Caenorhabditis elegans: one gene and its partners. The protein of the gene in region 1 purifies or fractionates together with the protein of each later gene. This does not show direct contact. Each region holds a gene or a part of one and is shown on either strand. Other genes may lie near its edges.

What was found.
Region 2: the proteins of sod-2 (region 1) and dhs-21 fractionate together in Caenorhabditis elegans (co-fractionation; one large-scale study listed by BioGRID). This does not show direct contact.
Region 3: the proteins of sod-2 (region 1) and sod-1 fractionate together in Caenorhabditis elegans (co-fractionation; one large-scale study listed by BioGRID). This does not show direct contact.
Region 4: the proteins of sod-2 (region 1) and pho-8 fractionate together in Caenorhabditis elegans (co-fractionation; one large-scale study listed by BioGRID). This does not show direct contact.

The regions. Positions count from the first base shown.
Region 1 is NC_003279.8:8,431,837-8,437,748, reverse strand, and holds sod-2 (Superoxide dismutase [Mn] 1, mitochondrial), read right to left. Parts: upstream 3,200-5,912; 5' UTR 3,194-3,199; coding exon 3,141-3,193; intron 3,008-3,140; coding exon 2,835-3,007; intron 2,788-2,834; coding exon 2,651-2,787; intron 2,426-2,650; coding exon 2,174-2,425; intron 2,123-2,173; coding exon 2,072-2,122; 3' UTR 1,963-2,071; downstream 1-1,962. Other genes in the region: F10D11.2 (uncharacterized protein), read left to right, coding at 1-129, 175-261, 616-843, 889-954, 1,161-1,228, 1,277-1,340, 1,397-1,477, 1,524-1,568 and 1 more; dpt-1 (Dipeptidyl peptidase 3), read left to right, coding at 1,898-1,962, 4,769-5,052, 5,108-5,238, 5,284-5,415, 5,463-5,729, 5,852-5,912. UniProt on the Caenorhabditis elegans protein: Destroys superoxide anion radicals which are normally produced within the cells and which are toxic to biological systems.
Region 2 is NC_003283.11:12,730,537-12,736,813, forward strand, and holds dhs-21 (L-xylulose reductase), read right to left. Parts: upstream 3,110-6,277; 5' UTR 3,026-3,109; coding exon 2,968-3,025; intron 2,135-2,967; coding exon 2,025-2,134; intron 1,974-2,024; coding exon 1,673-1,973; intron 1,628-1,672; coding exon 1,509-1,627; intron 1,464-1,508; coding exon 1,296-1,463; 3' UTR 1,231-1,295; downstream 1-1,230. Other genes in the region: zfyv-19 (FYVE-type domain-containing protein), read left to right, coding at 64-332, 713-801, 898-1,187; xbx-9 (XK-related protein), read left to right, coding at 3,717-4,183, 4,270-4,417, 4,679-4,835, 4,890-5,443; PAS domain-containing protein cky-1, read left to right, coding at 6,215-6,277. UniProt on the Caenorhabditis elegans protein: Catalyzes the NADPH-dependent reduction of L-xylulose, D-xylulose, L-(+) erythrulose, D-erythrose, D-threose, L-ribulose, 1,4-dibromo-2,3-butanedione and 2,3-heptanedione.
Region 3 is NC_003280.10:6,970,531-6,976,428, forward strand, and holds sod-1 (Superoxide dismutase [Cu-Zn]), read right to left. Parts: upstream 3,358-5,898; 5' UTR 3,351-3,357; coding exon 3,303-3,350; intron 2,972-3,302; coding exon 2,888-2,971; intron 2,845-2,887; coding exon 2,686-2,844; intron 2,642-2,685; coding exon 2,488-2,641; intron 2,444-2,487; coding exon 2,346-2,443; 3' UTR 2,176-2,345; downstream 1-2,175. Other genes in the region: C15F1.5 (RING-type domain-containing protein), read right to left, coding at 1-55; putative very-long-chain enoyl-CoA reductase art-1, read right to left, coding at 346-473, 528-837, 1,128-1,267, 1,312-1,542, 1,587-1,704. UniProt on the Caenorhabditis elegans protein: Protects cells against oxidative stress by converting superoxide radicals to hydrogen peroxide. Required for normal brood size. May be involved in regulating mpk-1 phosphorylation downstream of phosphatase ptp-2 during oocyte maturation.
Region 4 is NC_003283.11:11,831,264-11,837,904, forward strand, and holds pho-8 (intestinal acid PHOsphatase), read left to right. Parts: upstream 1-2,355; 5' UTR 2,356-2,381; coding exon 2,382-2,561; intron 2,562-2,928; coding exon 2,929-3,021; intron 3,022-3,070; coding exon 3,071-3,226; intron 3,227-3,412; coding exon 3,413-3,832; intron 3,833-3,877; coding exon 3,878-3,997; intron 3,998-4,102; coding exon 4,103-4,237; intron 4,238-4,283; coding exon 4,284-4,388; 3' UTR 4,389-4,445; downstream 4,446-6,641. Other genes in the region: nphp-4 (uncharacterized protein), read right to left, coding at 15-95, 139-306, 1,151-1,296, 4,695-4,822; R13H4.2 (uncharacterized protein), read left to right, coding at 5,147-5,157, 5,462-5,540, 5,710-5,832, 5,877-6,118, 6,220-6,281, 6,488-6,641.

The DNA of each region.
Region 1 (5,912 bases):
CTTCATTCACCGATTCGAAATCGATCAATATCTCCGGAAAAGATGGATACAACTGGAAATTCAGGAGCAGGAATGTCTGTCAGAGATTTTCTAAAAAACACAATGACAGTACAGAAAGCTGATGAAAAGGTATAGATTTTAATCTGAGTTCGGTATGAAAAATTAAATTTTCAGATTTTGGAAGAAGAATTAGAACGGGAGCGTGATGAAGCGGCACAAACAGTGAGATACAACAAATTTCGAGTTAGAAATCGCCCAAAGGTGAGTGTTTCTTTCGAAAAATATGCGAATTAACTTGTCCATTCATAATTTTTAATGCTAATACCTGAAGTTAATTTTAACATTTATTGAGATTCTCGAAATTTCTTAAAGTTTGAGTAGTGTCGGTTGTATTTTCCCTAAATCACAAAAAACAGTCTCAATATACTGAATATAACTGTTTAAAATAAAAGATTTAAAAATTTTATGCTTTAAAACAAGTTTCAATTTTGAAAAAAAATATAAACAGAGATGTTAAATTATCGTTTCTTCAGCCAATTCTAGAGCTTAAGCCATTTTCTGTTTTATTACAGACAAAAAAATCCAAAACTAAAGTTTTCAATTACTTTATTTCAGAAATACAAACGAAGTGCTGTAACATTTACATCATCTCTTGAAGCAGCTACATCATCATCTTCATCTACAATACCTCATCAAGATCAGGGTCCAACATTTTCAACACATTCAACAATTGGAAATTCATCGGATACTAGTCAATTAATGGAACAATTGGATCAATCACAAAATGATTCAATCGATATTGAGGAAAACGTTTATCAACCAATTGTAGTTCCATGTGTTCAAGTATCCTGGAATTCAACTATTTCTAATAATTATAAATTATTTCAGAGAGCTCCAGAACTTGACCTTACTCTCATGCAACCAGTGTTTTCCACGGCTTCTTCATACGTTCTCGTTAGTTTTTTCTCCAGAAAAAATCGAAAACGAGGAAACAATTACAAAAAAATTCAACTTTTTATCAAAAAAAGAAGAAAAATGATCAAAATTTAAAGCTATTTTTTGAAATATCATAAAACTAAATTTTTCGATTAGAGTGAAAAATTGAAATACCGACACTCTTGGTGGCAATTGAGTATCTTTTAAATTTTGATTTTTTCCAGAATTCTTCGGCACTGGACCCGACAACTCACCAGGCTCAAAGCAGTTTATCAGCTCTTACAGACTCCAAGTAAACACTAAAGTTCTGTTCAAAATCCTAACTTCTCTGATTTTTCAGATTCCAAACTGATCCGAATAATTTATGGAAAGCAGTTGATGGAGTTTCTCAATTACTTGTTGATGTACGTTTGATCTTTCAAATTTATTCAAAATTAGTTTTTAAAATTGTATTCTTCAGGCTCCATCTCTTCTGGAATCAGATCTTCGCTCATTCACCGATCACTCACATCATAGCAGTTTCCTTCCATTTGTTGCAAATGTAATATTATTTCAGGTCAAAAATTTCCAAATTTTTATATTTTCAGCATGAACCATTACATCGATCAGCATTTCTACCTCCACAATATCATGTTAGTTTCTATTTTCTTTTCTATCAATTATTTCTTTACTTTTTTCAGAAAGACCGACGCATTCACCAACAAATGGACTCTCATCTGAGCGATACTCTGCGAAATTTGTAAAAATAATTTGTATATATCTCAAATTCCCCTAATAACTGCACCGAAAATGAATTACATGTATTTGTTTTGAATATCAATGAATGAATTTTATCAATAAAAATTTTATCAATTGATATGAATCGTTGAATTAGTTTTTAGTTCTCAGTTTTTTTACTATTTCTTTTTTATTTTTTTCATTCTTTTTTTGATATAACATGATTTTTAGAGGCCATACTTCAATGAATGGACAGGTTTCCCTGCTGCTTCGAAGAGCTATTTCGGTGAAAACTTTTCATTTGAAAAGGTTTGAAAATTTACATTTCGAAATAATTAAGAAACAAAAATAGTTACAAAACAATGGGAGTCAACTTCTACTGCTACATTTGACGATTAATTCTTGTGATTCAGCTCATTTATTGCTGTGCCTTTGCAAAACGCTCGCTGACGTTCTTCCAGTTGGCGATCTGAAAGATTTTAAATTAAAAATATTAATTTTGATGGAAAGTGACAACTACCTTCCAAATAGCATTGACATAATCTGGTCGAACATTCTTGTACTGCAAGTAGTAAGCGTGCTCCCAGACGTCAATTCCGAACAGTGGAACAAGTCCAGTTGTTGCCTCAAGTGGATCCTGATTGGCACATGTGGCAACCTTCAAGATCTTTCCCTTTGGACAGTATCCCAACCATCCCCATCCTGATCCTTGAACAGCGACAGTTGATGCCGAAAGCTGTTTTTGAAGATTATCCAGAGATCCGAAGTCGCTCTGAAAATGTTTTAAATTGAACAATGGCCAGTGCTAGAGTTGTTCAATGCGAATTAAATATCAATTTCAAAATACTGTAAAGGCTAAGCCGATTATACAAAATTCTAAAACGTTGAATCATTTTAATCTCAGCCTTGACCGCACAAATCGTGTTCACTACATTTTTAATATCGACTTTTAACTTTAAGTATTATTATTGACTGCCTGATATGACTAATAAACTACCTTAATTGCGGTGAGCAACTCCGCCGATGGTTCTCCTCCGTCCTTTGCCAAATTAGTCCAGAAGATGGAGTGGTTGATATGTCCTCCTCCATTGAACTTGAGAGCTGGCTGAAGAGCGATAGCTTCTTTGACGTTTCCTGCAATCAGTGTTCTTTCCGAAATTCTGAGTAATTAAAAAAATTACCTTTGGAGACCGCCTCGTGAAGCTTTTCCTCAATTTGGTTGAGATTGTTCACATAAGTGGCATGATGCTTTTGATGATGAAGTTGCATAATCTCGTGACTGATTACAGGCTCCAAATCAGCATAGTCGTATGGTAAATCTGGCAGCGAGTGCTTCGAGCGAACAGCAGCGACTCTAAAAATTTCAATATTATAGTTTAGGAATCTATTTGCCTAAACTGATATATCTGAAAAAAAGGTGAAACTACAGGTTAAACCACAATTCGCAAGTAAATATAACAGCAACCATAAATAACAATTGAACTAACCCTGTGATCGGTTGAACAAGCTTTGAGACACAGCGAACGGTGTTTTGAAGCATTTTCGGCTGCAAATAATTAAAATATTCAATAGTCAAATATAAATTTTTACAATTCGCAGAAACATATCAAGCTGAAAATACGATTTTTGGATGAAAAATAAAAAAGTAAACAAAAAGCGCGAACACTGAAATTCGAATGCGCGTAAACAAAGTACGCAAAACAAAAGACAGTGTTTGCGGAACATGATACACCAGATTTACCGAGCAAAGTGGTTTTTGAATAATATTCTTTTAGCTCGTTTTCAGTCTAAATTGTTGCTTTTTGAGCCGAATTGCGTGTTTCTAGTAATTTTTAAATTATCGTAATATTTATGGTAGTCTAATATACATTTTTGATGTTTTAGTATACCCTATAATTGTCATTTTCTCTTCGGAAAGCAATCCTTCAATTCTCACTTAATTTTCGAGTAGATTTTTTAATTGCAACGTTTTTATTCAGGTTACTTACTTACTTACTTACTTTGATACTTTGATGTCCGTTGGGTTCAAGTTGCGAGGCAACTGCGGACAAACTCTTTCCATTTTTCACGGTCGGTTCGTGCGATGGACAGCCATGGAGCCTTCGGAGTGAGCATTCCTAGTCTTCTTCTCCCAACAACGACTTGTCCCGACATGGCGGAATTGTGGTGGAATTTTGCGTATTCTTCGTCGATGTCCTTAGCCCATCTCTTCTTCTGTCCTCCAACGGCACGTTTCCAATTTTTGTTGTGGCTCGGGTCCCATTCCGTGCAGATTTTTGTCCATCGGTTTGGATCTCTCCGTAGAATGTGTCCTGCAAATCTTGATTGTTTTGCAAGGAGGTAACGTTCCAAGTTGAAGTTCCAGCCTCGAATTTCTGCAGCGTCGATGAGACCGGTGACAGTTCTTTTGAGTCTCAACGTGGATCCAGCATTACAAGTCCAAGTTTCACTAGCATACAGGAGAGCTGGTAGCACATTTTGCTTGAAGAGGATGATTCTTTCCTTGTTTGGCATGATTCTCAAGACTTCTTTGATTCCAACCAGAGCACCCCAACCTGCTCTTATTCTCCTCGAGATCTCTTCGTCAATTGAGCCAGAAATGTCGATCCAGCGACCCAGATAGCGGCAACCAGGCACGGGAATGATGGGGGATCCGTTGAAAAGGACGTCTTGGCTCCGGCAAAACTTGTTCTTCAGAAGAACAGTCTTTGACTGATTGATCTTGAGTCCGTAATTAGAACTTATTCGGTCCAAAATTTCCAGTCGTTCTTGAACTTCTCCCGGTGTGGAACATGTCAGGACTACGTCATCCGCAAATTCGAGTCTTCTTATGTGTCTGCCTTCCACACTGATGCCAACTCCAGCGAGCTCGTTGTCGCAATCCGTCAGAATAGCTTGGAGAGCAGCACTGATGTTTTATATTTATGGTAGTCTAATATACATTTTTGATGTTTTAGTATACCCTATAATTGTCATTTTCTCTTCGGAAAGCAATCCTTCAATTCTCACTTAATTTTCGAGTAGATTTTTTATATGCAACGTTTTTATTCAGGTTACTTACTTACTTACTTACTTTGATACTTTGATGTCCGTTGGGTTCAACGTTTTTATTCAGGTTTGTCTCCACCTCAACTTTCTCCTTCTCCAACTCCCTACCTTACAAAATGCCTGTTGACCGTAGCCTCTACATAATTCCAAACGAAACACCAGTTTGTCAGCTAGATGCGGCTGATGCTTTCAAGACGTTATCTGAGAAGGAGAAAAAGTATTCTCATTACGTGGCCAAGGCATCTTTTGACGGTGCTCTTGCAGTTTTCTTGCAAGTTTCACCGGAATCTGCGCCGATTTTCTACGTTTTGTACAGACTTTTCAAATCGGAGTCTGTCGAGCAGTTGAAGGGTATGAAAAAAGCATTTACAGTACTGCGTCCTTTATTTAATCCATTTGTTTGCAGAAAAGGCACTTTCCGTAGGATTCACCGATGCTGAATGGCAAGCTTTTCTTGTTTATGCTGCAGCTTTTTATTCCAATTCTGGAAATTATAAGGGATTCGGAGATACAAAAATCGTCCCAGGTGTCGAGCAGGTAATTCATTTGAAAATTCGGACAAGTGTGGAGACATAATTTTAGACCAAAATCCGTGCTTTACTCGAGAAGTCTGCCGTTGGAACTGATGAGAAAGTTATGAAGACATGGGAGTCCGTGGAGAAGGTCATTGGATCGTTGGAGTCTAACGAGCTTCAGTTGGGATTTGGTGATAAGGTTCGTATATCACGGGCATACAGCAAAATGATTAAGTATTTTTTGAGGGAGTCACTTGCTATCATTCTTCAAACGTCACCAAAGCTGACGCCGAGAAAATTGATAGATTCTTCAAGCAACGGAATGTTGAGTCATGGAATTCTCGATTATTCAAAGAGGTTGGATCCGATGGAAAGACCACATACACCATCAAATTAGCATCTTCTGAAGAGGGAATCGTGTCAGAAGCTGTTGAATTTGAAGGAGACGTTGTACAAATTGTCAGAGGAGACTACGCTTTGATTATGAAGAGAACTCATGAATGGTTGGACAAGGTCAGAATGGGGAAAATTTGAATGGTTTATTGTAAAGTATAGGAAAAACATCCATTATTCGTAACAATCAACGTCAGTGAATTCTAGCTGGGAAGTTGTCATTTAAAATATTTTATTTTCAGGCCATTCCAACTGCGGCCAACAAGAATCAGGAAGAAATGTTGCGAAAATACGTTGAACATT
Region 2 (6,277 bases), on another chromosome or scaffold:
AATAATTGCCGTCCACCTCAGAAGTTGATTTTTTACGCCTAAATACCATTTTTAACATTTCAGTGGCTAAAGTCTTCTTCCAAGGAACCTGCGATGAACGCCAATAATCCATCTGAATTAATGCGAGTAGCTGAAGATCGTGCAAGAATTGAAAAAAAAGAAGAGGAAATGGAACATAAAGACTGGGATGAGCTTGAAGCAAGACGTAGGAAAATATTTGAAGATGAAAAAGAAAAAAATAGAGAAGATGATGCTTCAATACGAGAATCAATGGTTTCTGCAAACACAGAGTTTAGTGAAGCAACGAAAGAAGAAATGAATGAGATTAATAAGTGAGTTGGTGAATTTTTTATTTGAAATTAAACTGAAATACAGTTTTTTTTGAGAATTACAATACTTTTCAATAAAATTCAGTCAGCAAGCTGTAGAACTGGGACCGAAAAATTCGAACCAAAAAAAATCAAACAAAATTTTTTTTGGATTCGAAAATTGGAACTTTTTACAAAAACTGAAAACCACAGTTTGCTAAAGAACATTTGTAAAATATGAAAAGTGTTTAAAATATAGAAAATTAGTTTTTTGGTGTTTTGTCACAAAAACCAAAAAAAAAAACAAATTTTCGTCGAAATATTACAAAAATAAACAAACCCCAAAAAAGTACTAACCCTGCTGTAGACTTTTAAAGTTTTACGCATATTCAATAGTATTCCAGTATTCTTCAAGACGCAGAACAACGTGTAGCTGAAACCAAGAAGCAAGAAGAACATGATGCCGCTGAACTCAGAACTCTCATGAAATCTAGTAAGTTTAAAACGAAAATTTGAATATTTCTTCAACACAGTCTTTTACAAACCTTTTTACTGCCAGCTTAATTTCTTAATTTTGCTACAATTTCAGCTCGTCAGAAGTCTCTTGACGCTATTCAATGGAATGATAAGATCACGAAAGAAATTGGTGGATTTTGGGATCGAAGAAACGAAAAATTATCTGTAGATGAAGATGAAGATGAAGACGAGAAGTCCTTAGACGAAGAGACTTTCAAAAAGATTCTTCACGAAGCCGAAAATTCAGAAGATCTGCCTCCTCAAACTTCGGAATCAAACAAGGCGTCAACACCGAGCAACTCGAGCTCACCGAAGAAAAAGGGATTATTTGAAAAGTTGTTCAGAAAAGATTCAAAACAATAGTAAATATTATTTATCTTTTTTCTATGTATGTTAAATTACGAGCTTCTTGTAAATAAATGTATTTATTGTTCACCTATATACATCGTCTCAATCTTAAAATTAAAAACTTTAGTTATTCGAAAATCCTCCATCGACAGGCAAAGTGGATCCAGTAGTCATTGAAGCATTGTCTGAAAGAAGGAAAAGGACAGCATTCACAACTTCGTCAACCTCAGCAAAACGTTTGATCGGCATTCTGTCGAGCATCTTCTTCTTCTTATCAGGATCACTCCAGTTCTAAAAAGTCTAATTATGCTCTCTTTTCAATTTGAAAATTATTACATCTCTTCCCATATCAGTCATCACAACAGTTGGATTGACACTATTAACTCGAATATTCTGGGATCCCAATTCATTTGCAAGACATCTTGTGACCATATCAAGAGCAGCTTTTGATGCACCTGAACTTTCAGATGTACATTATTTCAGTAAAGTTTTAAACTAACAATAAACAGTGTGATTATCCAATGGACGAATGGCTGCTTGTGATGAAATATTAACAATTGATCCTTTGATTTGTCTATCCACAAAGTTTCTAGCAACTAATTGTGCAATGAGAATAGGTCCCCTTACGTTGACTGCAAATGTTCTATCAATTGATTGTTGAGTAATTTGTCCAATTGCATGATTTGTTGCAATTCCAGCATTATTTACAAGACCATGAATTGGGAAATGTGGTACGATAAGTTTGAAAAGGACCTCTTCATTGGCACTCACATCTCCAACAATTGGAATTATTGTATATCTCTGAAATATTAATTTAATCAGATTGGTGTAATATTTTATATTTTCACTTACCAAAGAAGTAGTCTCTTTGACAAGACTCAACAAATTTGCTTCATTTCTCGCGAATGCAATAACCTGCGCTCCAGCTTTGGCCAACGAAAGGCAGATTTCTTTTCCAATTCCTGCAAATGTGATAAATTGTGATGTATGATTCACAATCACCCCATCGGAAGTCTTCATGAACGATTTTTATTCTATTTTTAGCTTTGTTCGCGTAATATATTTTTTACCGACTAGGAAGGATGTACTCTTGTTTTCAATGCCAGAAATTTCCTCAAACATAATCGTAAAATAATTATAATTTTCAAACGGAATGATAAAATGTTGATGATACAACAAATTTTTGATTAAAGATTATAGTGTTATCATATTATCGTATATCAACGTTTTCCTCTCCATTTGAACTAGATCATAATTACACCGGAAGTAATCAGAGAGACCATCGGTCTTTTATCACATTGGCCTAAATTTGAAATGTTAAATTAATATGGATTAAACATTTTGAAAACTTAAAAAGTACAAATCTTCATGAGATTTCAGAAAACTGATTCAGTGGCTCCAAATGTTTAATGGTTTTTTTTAATTGAGCAGATAATTTTTAACATTTCCTTACTTCAAACTACAAATAAACTTATACTAGACCAGGGAAAACCTGGTCAACTTCAATTCAAACCTTGCAAACATATCTAAACTCAAAACATAGAACAATCGTCGGAAAAGAGATTTGACGTTTTCCGTGAAGTTTTCAACTATAGGTCAAAAGTTGGGCAATAAGTTGGCACCAACTCCGAGTGGTACAAAAACTTATCTCAACATAACTTTCTGTCTAAATATCAAGTCTATTTCCTGTAGTGAGCTATCTCAATTTCATATTTGTTAAATGGAACCCAAAACAAGTGTATTTGGTTTGTATTGAAACAACCCATCTTAACTTTTTCAACATCTCAAGACTTACCTTGACTTGCTCCTGTGACAAGTATACGTTTGTCAGTGAAATCGTAATTGGCGGGCATTGTTTCGTCAGATGATATGAATATCAGAAAATGTGTAGTATCTACCCCATTCTACCCAACACGATCAACTTTTATATTGTGACTATTTTTGTTATCAATGCCATTCCTCTAACAATCTGCGTCCAATTGTGTATTGATGATCGTCATAATGGTTTCTATTTCGAGATCGACAGGGAAAACCCTTTCATTTTGCAAAGTATGTAACAATGAAACTATTGAGCACCGAAACAATGTACACAATTTTCTTTAAAACGCTCGTTTCAAAAAATAGTATATCATAAGCAGCAAAATCGAGTACTTTGTTTTTGCTGCTTATGATATATATTAGAGGATGAGTTCAAGAGCAAAAATGATCCCAAAAGTTCAAAGACTTGCAAAATATCATACTTTCCTGGTAGTTTCAGGTACCATCAAACGTATATGTCCCACTTAACATTAAGCTCAACCTTCCGTAAAAAGTTTGTTTTGGCTAGCTTCGTTAGTGTCTCCGTCTTAATTTTTTTTACATCAACAACCAATTTCAATATCACAAGATCTGCGTCCAAGAACAGCTGAAACTTCGTGACGAGTAACCATAGCAACATGGCATTTCACCTGTTCAATCTAGCCACTCAACTCGCCACATTTCTTATTCTCAATCTCAGCTTCAATAAAATCCCAACTATTGAAGTGATATAAAGATCGTGTAACCATGTCGACGGACATGGACCCAGTCCCGGGTCTTCCTTTACTTACCACTCTTTTTTGTAATTCAACAACTGTGAAGAAAAAAGTGAAGATAAGCTGTGATTTTCCTGATGAACTCTACACAAAGAAAGCATTTTACGGAGGACCAATTGGAGCTGGACTCTCCGCAATTGAAGTTTCAATCATCGCAGTTTTCTTTCTGCTTTCTTTGAAAATGAAGCGTGATATCACGAAGGTCTTTCTGACTATTGTCTACATTCCACTTGGACTGTCATCTCTGTTCAAGATTGCACTGGCTATCTACAGTATCATGCTTGGAGCTTATGGATGGTGGTACATGGTTTTTCTGATGTTCTTCAACTGGTTTTACACTACAGCAGTCCTCACTACATCCATTGGATCTGTGATTTTTCTCTCGGCGTTGATTGTAATTGCAAGGAAAAGACAAAACTTTAATCCTTGTGATTCATGGTAAGAAAATGGTTAGAATGACACAGCAAAAATCTTGAATAACATTTTTTGTTAAATGAATAGTTGATGCCTCCGATATTTTCCAGGACATCTTACTTTGCTGTGCTCTTCTTTGCTGCTATACTCTCTGGTTCATATCATTTCATCGCATCCCAATGGAACCCACTTCCTGCTTCTGCACTGTTTTTTACCTACCTTTTGTGCACAGTGGGAATCATTGCCGAGCTTCTAGTGGTAATCTATTTTTGATCTCTAAAGGTGGACATCAGTGCCCAGTTATACATTAGTGAGGTATTAAACAAAGTGTGAAAAAATCCAAAGAATAGTAGAAAATTTAACCGAAGCCAACAAGTGGTGTGATCCTATTTAAAGATCGTTTTCAGTGTAATTGTTTTGCACTTTACTTCTACACCCCTACACATATCTATTGACAGTAATTCAACAATTCCACCTTCAAATGAAATTTAAATATAGAAAATCAAAAATGTTTTCCAGTGCTTGTGTGTTGGATTAATGTGCAAACCAAAACCAGCAGCCGGAACAAACATGGCAGTTCTGACTGGTGATCCAGTTGTCGATGATGCACGTAGCCGTCTTGGTTTTGGAGCAGCTGCTGTAATTGTAATGAATATTCCTCAATGGTTTGAGTTTTGTAAGTTTTTGCAACTGAATTGAATTTTAATTGGTTTTATCGTATTCTTTTCAGATGTGAAAATCGCCGAACTTTTCGCGCCATACCTTTGGAACTCGGACGATGAAAAAACTGTATACTACACTGCACTGGCAATTCAACTTCTGACATTTGACACTGTTCGTTTGTTCATGAGCCTGTTCATGCTAGTTGCCTTCTTCCTAACCGTTTCATCAAGATTTGCCATTGATCAATGGATTCGTCGTCAACATCACCCAACTGGAAATCCAACCGCCACACAGAACAAGGTCTTCATCGCAACCCAAAATCAACCATTGCTAATGGATACCGGAGAGAAAAAGAGTCCACCACCACCAACACCTCCAAATCCTCCAGTTAATCATGCTATTGCTCCAGTCGCTCAACATCCTCAACCCATGCCAATTCCCCACCAAGTACCTTCGCCAGCTCATGGTGCAGCTCATGGTCATCCACAAGCTCCACCAATGTATCCTGGAATCGGATTCGCTCCTGGTATGCTTCAACTTCCACAAAACATGCAAACAACAATTGTCTATACTCCATCAATGGCATATGATAACGGACATCCTGCAGCTCAAGTGAACTAAGAGCTTAAGAGTTTTAAGTTAATTTGAATTTTTCATTTTCACTAAATAAACTCCCTGTTAACAAATTTCAAAAGTTAAAATGAAAAACAACTCCGGTAAATGCATAATTACGACAGTAAAGTTATGATTTAGAACTCATTATAACTGTTTATTATGTGTGTTTAGCTTTTTTTTTAATTAGTAAAAACTAACCCTGTTTAATGCTCTCCCTAAGTATCACTTAACATACGCCAAAAGTACTCAATTTCCTAGAAAGGTCAAAATGCGGAAAAAGAAAAGTACACATTTCTCAGTGTACACTCACTTTTGCTACCTATTGCAACATGCTGGCACCGCTTAGCTAGCGGTTTTCCTCACCTCCGTGTTGATAAACAAAGAGTGCAGAGACAGTGGTCAGTACCTGGGGGGCAGTAACTAGGTACTTCCCCCCGTACTTCCTTAACCTACAAGATGGAAAAATGAAAGAGATGAGTGAAATTGAAATCTGAGAGAGTAAATGAAAGTAAGAGAGAGTGATCGAGCAAACAATGGACGCGCCAGTCGCGGCCGCGGCCATGGCTCTCTCAAGTACAGTGAGGATTACTGTCCATTCGAAACGAGAGAGGTGCTTTCCTTTTCTAGGCGGGCGGAGATAGTCAGTGACGTAACACGCGGTGTCCGCGCGGAGTTCGGGAGGTAGATGGTCAGGGCGTGACCTCACGAAGATCGCCCGTGTTCCCGCACATATCGCATAGTCTGCGTGGCTGCACGAAGAGCTCCGTGAAGAAAGAGATGAGCACGACGGTGCCTCTACATGCTTCTTCCTTTTCTTCCGGAACAACCGGAGCTGGAGGC
Region 3 (5,898 bases), on another chromosome or scaffold:
GAGTTGCTTCTTCACATGGTTTTAAATCATTGCAAACTGCACACCAAATTGACATCTTTGGATAACTTGAAATATTTCGAAATAATCTTCTTTCTACATTGAAGTCGGGAACATTTTAAATTTTCGATGTAAAAAACAATATCACGTTATTTTTATTTAAACATTTTTTCTCTTTTATTAACGCTTTTTTTTCACCAACCAAGACTTGCAACATTTTTCAAGCAAACATTTATCTGGAGAAATTGTCTATTTAATAAATTACTGATTGAAATAAGCGGATTGGTAATAATAGAACTGCAAGAGTACATGAAAAATACAATAAATATTCGGCGCAAATGCGATAATTTAGAGAACAAATGGAACGATGGCCTTGCGATTTTTTGGGTAATCTGGGAACTCCTTGAGGTAGTTGCGGTGCTTTCCTTGGGCCCAGATTGCCATTTGAGCGAATCCAGCGGTGGTGAAGATGATTGCTAAATTTTAAGATTATGAATAAAATCAATTATATTTACAAGTTTTTTATTTACCTGGAAGAGATTGGACCATAATGGAGAAGAAGATCCATGATGCGACCTCATATGTGTAGTTCGGGCACGAAACGTAGTTGAAGAGGAGAGAAAGTGGATTTCCATCAGGCTTTGGAATACGACGTTCGCGGGTTCCAGCTGGACGGAGGTTGCGGAGAAGAATGTGGATCGAGAGATTTCCAAACTCCGAAATCACGAAACCGGCAAGTCCGAAATAAACCTGAAGATCTCCGAAAGCTGGTGGTGTGAAAAGTGGGTGATTGACAAAGTAGGCGACGAAGGCAGCGAATCCCCAGTAATAGGAGCAGTTCTGAAAATTCAGGAAATAGAAATTTGTTTATCGATTAGTGAATTTTATTTTTAATCTTGTCCGTTTCAAAATTCTCTACTAAAACTACCTAAAGTTGTACGAAATATTCTAACTTTGAATTTTAGGCATATTCAACGTTTTTACTAGTTTTTTTTTGTTGCTATATTTCAGATTGAAAATTGCCGTAGAGCGTAAAATAATTTTTTCATCAACGCAACTTTTGCAACTTACTATTAGTGTCCCTTATTACTTTTTACTCAATTGTTTTTATTTTTATTTTTGAAACATGCCTTGACTAAATTGAACTGTGGCATAGTCGAGTTTCCGAATCTATGGATGAATTGAGTTTCGAACAATCTCTTGGCGTAGTGGAAGCTCCATGCAAAGAAGGCGATTTGTACTGCTGGATGCATGGTAGCATTGACAGCGGCTGTAATGTAAGATATTGTGTGAAATAATATTAATCCGGCTCACCTTGTCCATAAATGAAAGTTGGTCGAAGATAGAAAAGCGGATAAACGAACAAAGGTCCAGCATACTCAGCCATGAAGACAGTCTTCCAGGCGATTTGTGGTCCGAGATCTCTTACATATAAAACTGCTTTTTGAGATGAAAGTCCAAGATCGGAGAGTTTTTGGTCATCAGCCAATGGTTTACCCTTTGGTTCGACACGGAGAGCCTGACGTTCTTCGGTGAGTTTCAGCTCTGAAATTATTTAGCTAATAAATCATAAATTTCGATTCACAAACTTTTCTGGGCAATTCGCTTCTTGATAGCTTTGATCGTTTCGGATCCAGAAATTCCCTCGAGGGTGATGATGAGATTGTCCGTACGCTTTGCGTCATAAACCTCCAGAATCCCACTCATTCTGAAAATTGAGGTTTTATATAAACTGAAAAAAAGGAATTTTCACAAAAACTGGCTCTATTCAGAAAGAAACGAATTTTTTGCAGTCCACTATTATAAAAATGGTGTGATTTTCTTTTACGGGTCGCTATCAATTGAACTGATAAAAAAAGAAGAGAAGCATTGTGAAAATGCCAATTGAAACGAACGACCTCGAAATAAAATTTACTAAATGCATTAAAAAATAGAAATTATTATATTTTCAAAGATTTTTGTCTGCCTTAAATAAGGGAAAAGCGATAATATTTAAACGTTTTTTGAAATAGCCTCATTATCAGGTGATTCTTATTCAACTGCTCGAAAAATCGCCCTTCTCCGTCAGAACTTGTTGATAGTTTAACGGCTGGCACAACATTTATGGCAGTTTGGTAACAAAACTGAAAAGTGAAGTATTGATATAATGAGCAGAGACATTGAGATTTGTAAAACATAGAAATTGGAAACTACAACCTTTATTTGAAATTTTGAAGAAATTTTATGTGAAAATATACAGTAGTAGGAGTAGGAACAACGGGATTCTTAAGAATATAACGACAAAGCAAGAAATGAAAAATTGTCTTTAGTAGGAATTGTGTGGAGATTCAGAGACGCGATTCAGGTAGTCACTGGGGAGCAGCGAGAGCAATGACACCGCAGGCAGCACGAGCTCCGGCGTTTCCAGTCTTCTTGGACTCTTCTGCCTTGTCTCCGACTCCCTCGCCTGGAAAGTTTACTAAATTGATTTTTAATTCGAATTGTTCATACCGAGGTCGTCTTGTCCGGCATGAACAACCATAGATCGGCCAACGACAGTGTTTGGACCGTAAAGCGTGACGAGCGTGTCGGTGAGCTTGATTTTTGCCACTCCATCGGCTCCAGCTTCCACATTTCCTAGATCGCCTACGTGACGGATCTCGGACTGAAAAAATATTATAATTCAAGCGATATAAAAAATTTCCATACTTTTGGTCCACCATGAGTCTTTCCAAATGGATTGAAGTGTGGACCGGCAGAAATGCATCCGTTGGTGGAATCACCATATTGGTGAACGTGGAATCCATGAAGACCGGGAGTAAGTCCCTTGATTTCTCCTTCAATAACTGCCTGGTCATTTTCGGACTTCTGAAAAAGAATACAAATGATTTAAGCGGAAAACTCGGCTAACCTGTGTGATCCAGATAGTACCGGTAACAGTTTCTCCACGAAGAACAGCGACAGCACGGTTCGACATTTTTTGAGCGGCTTCGACCTGTAAATTCAACGAATTTTCTAGGGAACACTCTAAGGAATATCACGGCAAAAAGTTTAGAATTAGAAAAAAACAGGCAGATCACAGTCGATAGATGCAAAATTAAAAAAGAAATGGTAAACACGAGAGAGAGAGAGAGAAGGTGGAGCGAGATGAAATAGACAACATTGTGTGTGTACCCGCCTCTCGGTCGCAGAATTTTGTAGCTATGTCTCTAGTTTTTGTGGGTTTCTGATGAAAATGATGATAATTAAGGTAAAGGCAACAACACAACGCCATAGATCAAATAGGCCCAAGTTGCGAATGACGAATGTTTCGGATAAGCACTGACCTGCGGAAAAATCGCGTTGGAGACCTGAGTGAGAAGATTCATAAACATCACCGATCTAAAATACTGAATCTACAACTTTGAATAATAAAGAAACAATGGAAAGTATGATTATGACACTGATTAAAAACCACAAAACAAAAACACAGAAAAAATAAGCGGCTCACAAATTCAACGTCTCCACTCTTGAAAACTCGAAATTGAACGATTATTTCAAGAAAAAGGATTTTTAATAACTAAATTTTAATTAATTTTGAGAATCGGAAGAAAACCGGGAGTGGAGAATCGTTTCTATAGAAACTACGAAAGCGTAAAGAAAATTTAGAGAAAAAAGAAAAAAACAACAGCAAAATAGTGTGCACGCATCAAACTTGACGAGCAATGCGCGTCAAATATGCTGTTCGAGAAAAACCGCGGTTATTTAAATGTGAAATTTTTGTGTTGCGAGAATAAATAGCGTCGGGTTTCTTTCATGTTGGAAATTTTCGTTTCCAGAAACAAGATATGAAGATCGTTATGCAATGAAAGTTTTTCCGTAGAAACTTTCATGTGAATCAAAACGCCGAAGGCAACAAAAAAAAACTACCTTACAGGTGCAAACACGTTGTGTTTTTTTTCTTTCTCTTCTTAAATTTGACGGGGTTGCGGAATTGAACTCAAATTGTAAACGGAAAATGTGGTTCTTTCAAAAATTAGATTTCCAAAAATTTAACAATTCCAAAATTTCAAAATTTCGAAATTCAAAAAACTTTGACCCCTTGACCCCGCCCACAACAATGAGAGGAGGGCCTCTCATTCATTATTCATCTTTGATCCTGTACTGGTGGGTGAGTTTAATTCTGCTCCAAAATTGTGGTAATTGGTTATTGCAAGAGACTTCGTAATGGAAGTCATCTTGAGAATCCCAAGATTGTCCCCCAGACGTAAGTAAGTATAAGATGTAGTTGTCTGGAGTCAAGTGGTTTACTCTCGATTAATCCAGACTGGCTAACCTGGTGCCTAACGGTTTCGAGTGATTGGGGTTGGGTGATTGGTATTCTTGTTGATACTATATTCTAAAGATATGATACGGTCGGGGTAGGTAGGAGACTGAGTAGGTAGGTAGGGTAGGGTAGGTAACGGGGTAGGTAGGTAACTGAGGGCGCACGAGTAGGGGGCTAGAGGGGTAGATATCGTTTCATATCTTAAGAGTATAGTATCAGCAAGAATATCAGTCTCTCAATACTTGATTGCTCGAAACTGGTACGACACTTGGTCAGTCCGGTTTGGTGTTCTATCATTGCCTGTCGGTAATGGTGCTAAATTAAGATTAAGATTTTGAAAAATAACAATTTTTATTTTTTTGAATTTTATTTCGAAAAATGTTCTATAAAATAAACTCACAGTTGGTTAAAATTTAAATTTTGAATAAATAATAAGCAGCATGAATCGCATAGTTATTCTACTGTACTAAAGCTGGCAATTTTTGATATCAAAACTGATAATTCTGACAATTCCTATTGACGTAGAATATCCTTTTGGTCTTTATGATGTAGACAATGGAGGTGAGAAAAGAAGGGGGCTAAAAACCCAAGAGAATGATTCAGGGGTCAACTGGCAATCGATATTCAAGGTGCTCTTTGAATAGGTCCTGGATTATTGTTGTCTCATTCTGCTTTTATTCTCTTGTGATGAATGGTGACTCTTCTTTTCCTCTTCTTCGTCTCCCACCGAAAAACCTAAAAATTGTTCTCTGCCATTTGAGATCTATTGAACAGCGAGTTTTCAATTGGAAAGTGCCTATAAATGTTTATCTTTTCAGAATATATTTTTCAATAGTCTCTGAGAAGACTAAGGATATTATCAGAGAGCTATGCATCTTCAAAAATATTGTTTTCTTCTTTGGCATGTCCGATCAGTTGGTATATGGTTTTTCTAAATGTAATCACAAGCATGGCTGTGCTCATACCAGGCGGAGAAATGTTTTGTAAAAAATCAAGAGAATGGAGTACATCAAGATATCACGGCTACTGCACCAAAGCACTGCGACTTTTTTCGAACGAGGGCCGAGAAAAATGCGAAAAAACGGTGTTTGCACACAATACACCGCATTTTACGACATTGTGCACTTCTTACTGTACCTAGCGAGAAAATGAGTCTTAACTGCTTTGAATAAAACATAATTATAATTTATTGAGAAAATTTGTGAAAAATAAGAGAAAATTAAAAAAAAAGAATCGATTGATAATTATATTGATAAAATATGGACTTTTTGGTGGATTTTGGGAAATTCGTCGTCTTTGTCCAGTTTCTATCGCCAGATTTCTGCAAAAAATCGTTTATATAACTGCGACTATGGTATTTTGAACCGGAGGGCACAAATTCAACAGAATGCTTCCCCGTATATATTATTTTACCTGAGCTAAAAATATTAAATCAGGAATTGTACAGGCTGGTTGAACTATCGTATTATTCGGAACGTTTCTTGAGAACAAATCGTGCCTTCAAAGGACGAGAAGGAGTGGATTCCATATTTTGTCCTGCTCACCAATATCATTGACAAGAAGTATCCGAGATTTCGCAAGAAGTTCGATTCGATGTTTCAACACTCGTGCAATAT
Region 4 (6,641 bases), on another chromosome or scaffold:
AGACAATTTGAAAATCAGGAAGCTTCGAATGCAAGTGTGATTGAATATGCTTCTTCTTGTACATAAGTCTCCGCATCTGATATATACAACAATGTCTGAAATACTAGAATGTAAATATTTAAATGATTAGTTAATTACCTCTATATTCTTTTGAAGATGTGTATTCTTCACAAAATACATTTCACATGGAAGTTTTCCCATAGGTGGAACTGACAACAGACTATCCGTAATTTTTACAATATCAGAATTTGATGTGGTGATTCGGAATGTCTTTGGTAAACCATATGGGTTTCTTATCGGGATTCTCTGAAAGAAGGGTTTTCGTCAAAAAAAGGTTATGACCCCAGATTGGTTTTTTTTCTGTAAAATCATTTAAATAAGGATTTCTCATATAAGCTTAAATTATACAATATCCAAATAGGTTTATAACCCTAGAAAACGCCATATTCTAAAGGACCTCACTTTGTTTTTTTTTCAAACTATGTAAAATTGAAATCAATTGAGATGAACAGTTTCTATAATATTAATGATTGTTGTAAGAGCTTTAGACTATTCTACCAGGAAAATAGTTGTACTTCGTTATTTTATACATAAACTTCTTCGACAAATTTTTCACACTCTAAGAAGTTGAATATTTTTCATTGACTTATTAGGACTGTCAGGGAAATGCTTAAAGTTCTCGGAAACCAACACAGAGAACACACATACATTTGAGTTGTTCAGTCCATCGGTTTGTTTTCAAATTGAAAAAAAACCTCCTTATAGTCTAAATTTGAATTTTGTTATCTGTTGTTTCTCTGATTCATTTCAAATTTTAATTATTTGCTAGCATGACAATGAATAACAGTAAACAAAAACATTCTTACTGTACACAAATTTTGAAAAAATGTTATTTATTTTAATGTTAGATGTGTTTAGTTTGAACGGATTTTTTACCTTATTCTGAAAGTTGTCTGTTGCATGCTAGCCAAATAAAGAAGTATCATGAAAATCACAGTTTCATGCCCCAAAAAAATTAAATTTAGTGAGCGATTTTGACTTTAAAAAATTCTTGTTATTTTAGTTAAAATAATAGTTTGAAATGTTTGGAAATTACTGTCGATCCAAACTAAAAATCTTTAACATTCAATATTATATAAATTCAACAAACCTTTCTAATAGCTTCATCAGATGATGGAATTTGTATGACAAACTTCTGCGTAATCCGTGGCGCTTCAGACTTTCCGTAAACCAAAAACCCTCGTTCTAACTTCAATGTATTGGTATTCACAACAGAAACGACAAGCTTCTTTGTTCCTGAAACAACACGTGAGGTCATGAAAACGCGGGGGTACTAATCGGATGAGTTTGTGAAATTTGGAATTTTAAATGACTTTGTGGATATTTCTCGCCTGGATGCGCCTAGTTTGCACGTGGAATCAACTATTTTTGCAACTATACTGAACATTTTCTTCATGGCTCTGATGTATGTCTAAGAAGATTAAAATGCAAGGAGAGATAACATTTTTGCGTTTTTTCGACCGTATCAATTTTGTGAGCTTCATTTTTTGGATGTATTTGTTCGTTTTTTGAAATAAATGTACTTATGATCTTTCCTAACTTTCGATTTATTGTCATTTCTTTATCAATATATATATTTCAAACAATTTTTTTGCTGAAAAGCAATATTCGGAACAATTCGATCATAATTGCATTCTGCAAGTTAAAATTGTGTCCCTAATGTAAGTTTCCTGACGACTTAAGAACATGACAATTAAAATTAAGCAATAGATGTATGTAGATTATTTTTTGATTATAATGGGTTGAATAAAAATGTATTCAGTTACATGGATTCAAAGAGTAGTAGTCATAAATAAACTCGCGAGGTGCTAGGTGAGGTAGCATATTCGAAAATACATAACTTTGTAAAAAATGCTAGAAAATACCACAAACATCATCGATAAGCTACCAGCGAATAGAACATTGGCGGGCACTACTGTTTTTTGCTGCACTAAAATTTCAAGACCGATCGACAAAATTCTCCGTATTTGTTTCCAAATTCGGGAACTTCAAACCCAGTATTCGTTTTAGATAAAAAATCATTTTTTTCCGTGGGAGTAAAATGTTAACTGATAACAAAACTTCATACAATTAACAGTCTTTCGACTCCTCCCCACTTTCACTTTCTATTTAAATCCAACTACACCGCACTTTTGCTCTATTTTGGAACATACTCGTCTCAATTTCGACGACGTCAAAAGAATCAGAATTTCCGTCATCAGATAGCGTGCGATTCTTGTATGTAACCTGATAGACCTGCATGAGAACTCGTCCCCTTTTTTGCGACTTTTCTGTCCGGTATTCACTTTTTCAATTTTTTGCAGAGATTTCTAGACGACGTGATGATGTTGATACAAGGACTTGTCATATTTCTTGCCGTGTTCAATAATATAGAATCTAGGAAACTTGAGTTTGTACAAGCACTGTGGCGACATGGAGACCGTGCTCCTCTACACTTACCGTATCCAAATGACCAGTACACAGAAAAAGCTTGGTCAAGGGGATGGGGGCAGTTGACTTCGGTTTGTTTTATTAAACTTTTAAAGAAATGTACTTGTTGAATATTTGTGAGTTCTTACGCGATCTTCTATCATATCACAATAAAATTATAATTACATTTAATTTGTTTCAGCTATAAAGAGTGACCTAAAAAACGGAGCAGAAAAAATGTTTAACATCTCCCAGTGACGCTCAAATAACCAAATATCACAGGAAAAGTGTCAAAATTTTTGGTTATAAATTTTGGATATAGTTTTTTAGAACTGACTATAAATTATGAAAATCTCAAATATCTTATAGTGTTTTAATTAGTTTTTCTGATTGATTTCAAATACACGTTGACAAAACCTTCACTGGCGCTACTTTGCCTTAAAAACCTATTTATTTTAGATTGGAATGCAACAACTTCACGAGCTCGGAGAGTTCTTCCGACACCAATACGTGGACTCTTCATTTATTCCGTCTAATTTTTCAGTGAAAGAAGTAAGAAACTCAATACCATATCTGTAAATTAAACTCTTGAAATTTGTAGGTCTACCTGCGCTCTTCCGATTCTGATCGTGCTTTGGTATCTGCACAAGCATTTCTTTACGGGCTATACCCAGCTTCTGGTGGTTATCAATGGAGCTCAGATATAGACTGGCAACCTCTTCCAGTACATGCATCTACTCCAGGAGAACCTGATTTGGTAACCGTTGATTTTTAGATTTAAACTAAAGTTGTTCTTATGAGGTTTTATCACAAATGCGTCAGAAAGACAAAAGAGATTAGAAAGTACGTAAGAACAACTGATAAAACATTTTGAAGCCCAATTTCTATTTCCGGAGAGTGACTATTCATTATAGACTACATTTACTAAGATAAACTGATTCAGGTGTGCAAACCAACTGCGATAAAATGTGCTCGTCATGAAGTTTTAGTGGCTCAAGGCGATCAAGAATCAAACGCTTATTATAGTGTTAAGTATGCAGACTTCTTCAGTGAACTTTCTCAAACTACAGGATTCAAACACTGTTCATATATGGATATTAATGGATTATTCGATATACAAAGAGAGTTGATTCATAACATGACTGCAAAACAGCCTTATTGGGTTACACAAACCTGGCCTCAATATGACAATCGTACTTCAATGGACATTATAACTGAAATGAGGACCGTTCGAATGATGAATCTATTTAATTCAGAAGAGAAAGGAAAACTTGAAGGAGGCTCCGTTCTTTACAATTGGATTCAAAATGCAATTGCAGTTTCTGAGAGCAGAAATGATCAGAGAATGCTTCTTTATTCTTCGGTAAAATCTAATGGAAACTGAGAAAATCTATTATATTAATTTCAGCATGATGGTGTTCTTCTTGCACTTCTCAATGCATTCCGTGCTTCAAATGAGATGATGGTTCCTTATGCGGCTGCACTTATCATGCATGTTTATTCAGACAACGGAAAATTTTATTCTGAGGTTAGTTGTTCAATTGAAATAAGTTTTATTAGGAAACTTGGTTAACAAAAAATTATTTATATTTTCTTTCAAATTAATGCTGATGGTTCATTTTAATTTATTCAGCTCTACTATCGAAATGAGACTACATCGGATCCATACAGAATTCCGCTTTCCCGATGCCCGGAACCTTGTGAAGTGTCGCAATTGGCAGTGGCTTTTTCAAATATGACAGTTACAAACTACTCGGATATGATGACGGTAAGCATAATCTTCTCATTATAGACCAAAGTTCGCATATTTTCAGTTATGCGGGACTCCTCTCAAAGCATGTGGAAACTCGTCTTACACGTTCAACTCTTTATCATTTTTCTTACCATTTCTCTTAGCGAGTTTATTTTATTCAAAATGAACTAGATCTTAACATTGGTTCCCATGGAACCATTAAATAAATTATTGCTATCTTACATTTTAAATGGTTAATGTTTTATAGAGCAAATTTAGAAAACCCAAAAGAGTTGAGTAAAGATTGACGACAAATATCCTTGGTGTATTTTTCTCTATTTTTGTGTGGAATAACGGTATTGCTCTTTGCACTTTTAGATATTGTAAATAATTTTCTGAACATTTAACGGGTAAATAGAAACGTTTTCATTTTTGATTTGACAGTACGCAAGTGCTCATATGTATATCACATTTTGTTGTATTAAAGGCTTACCAATAAAGTTTGGTGTAAAATCAATTGTGGCTGTAGGTGTTCTTTCAGTGAGCACAGAATCCACAACTTTCATACATCCAGATGCTGTATACACTTTCAGTAAATCATCTGGCACTCCATCATGCTCGCTGAAAATAAACAGATAAAGAACGTAATTCCTATCATTTTGTTTATTGTTCATCTATTCTTCATTTTTTGTGTGTTGTTTTCTTCTGAATCCCCACCAGATGAGAGTGTGGGAGAGAAAAAGAGCGACCAGGTGTTGGAATCCAAGCATTTTTATTTTTTGTTTTCTTCCCGCGGGGACCAAACAACTGGCACATCGTCCTCCTCCGCCTTCGCAAAAGATTAGGAATCAAGAAGAGGCATGAAAGATAGAAAATAGAAGAGGACAAGAGAGCACACAAGGGGCACATCTGCCATTCAGAAATACCGACTCAGGCGCCTGCCAAATGGTTTCCAGGTTTAGTTTCTTTTAATTTTTGTTAAAACTTGAACTTTGTAGTTCACACATTGGATATCAAAAAGTGTGATTTATTTTTTAGTTTGTGCTACTTCTATTTTGTAAGGTGTGGAAGGTTAAAAAACTAAAATTAATACAAAGATCGTCTTATAAGCGCAATGTTGATGGTACCTTTTATTTATTTCGGGAAATGCAATGAAACTCCTATTTATGTATTTTGATCAAATTTAAGCTCTCACTTGTAATTTTTTATTATTTCAATCTAGTACTAGTACAATACTAAAATTATCAATTACAATTACAGTATGACCGACTACGCCTTGGTGCGCTCTCGCAGCGCACTTGTCCGTTCTCGATCGGTTGAACCGAGCTCTCGTCTTTACGTAAGTTCACTTAAATCCTGATTAACTATGAACTGATCAAAAACCTTTCAACTTCTGGTTTATCTCTCTCAATAATGTTACACAATCATCACTTTAGCCCCGTTGGCACCAGGTGCCAATTAAGAGATCACGCGTGAAGGTAACAAAAACAAATGCATCATTTTTCCAGGTCACCCGCACTTCATCAGTCCCAGACTTGACCGCTCACTTCCGTTACTCGGATAAGTACCGTCCACAATGGCATACTGTCTACCAATCGACTCCATACCGCTGGCGTCGTGACTGGGATTTGGTATGAGATGGCTTTCTTTTATTTTTTGAGAATTAAAATTTCAGTACGATGACTACTGGTATGACAAATACTATTACTTCTCTCCACTTTATCGCAGTACCTACTATCCAAGCAGAAGATATTCCTACAGTGATTATCTTCCAAATCCATATTATTGGAACAACTATGGATCTTATTGGACTCGCTACAAGGGATATTGGTATGACTATGACTATCCATCCTCTTACCGTCGATACACTGATTCTGCTTTCAACCGCTACTTGAACTACACCTACACCCCGTATAGGTATGCATAGTCTACAAATTGAATAAGATAAATATGTTTTCAATAGCCAAGTTTTCAATCAAATCAAAATTATTTAAACCAAAGAAAAATTCAAATTTCAGATCGTACTTGATGGACTCATTGAGCACTTCCCTTTCTCGTGGCCTTTCCATGTACAAGGCAGGTTTGTACCGGTATTGACCACTGTCTAAGGTAGTGTAGAGACAGGGCAGTGCCCATTACTTTTACCAAATACAATTGTTGCTTTATTTTAGAACAATTTGGCAGTTTACGGTACTACTAATCCTTTTTCGCCGCTCTATCTCTACACTAGATATTAATGTGAGCACAGGCTTTTGTAGAAATTTTCTTTAAAACATTCAATTTCAGGTCTAATCAATCACACTACTCTTGATGCTTACTGGTTAACACCAAAGTACTGGGATCGTCGTTTTAAAAACTGGCGTGAGCTTTATTGCTCCACCAAGGACAATTATCTTCCATCAACGTACGATAGAAAAACCCGTCAGTACTTTGCACAGTG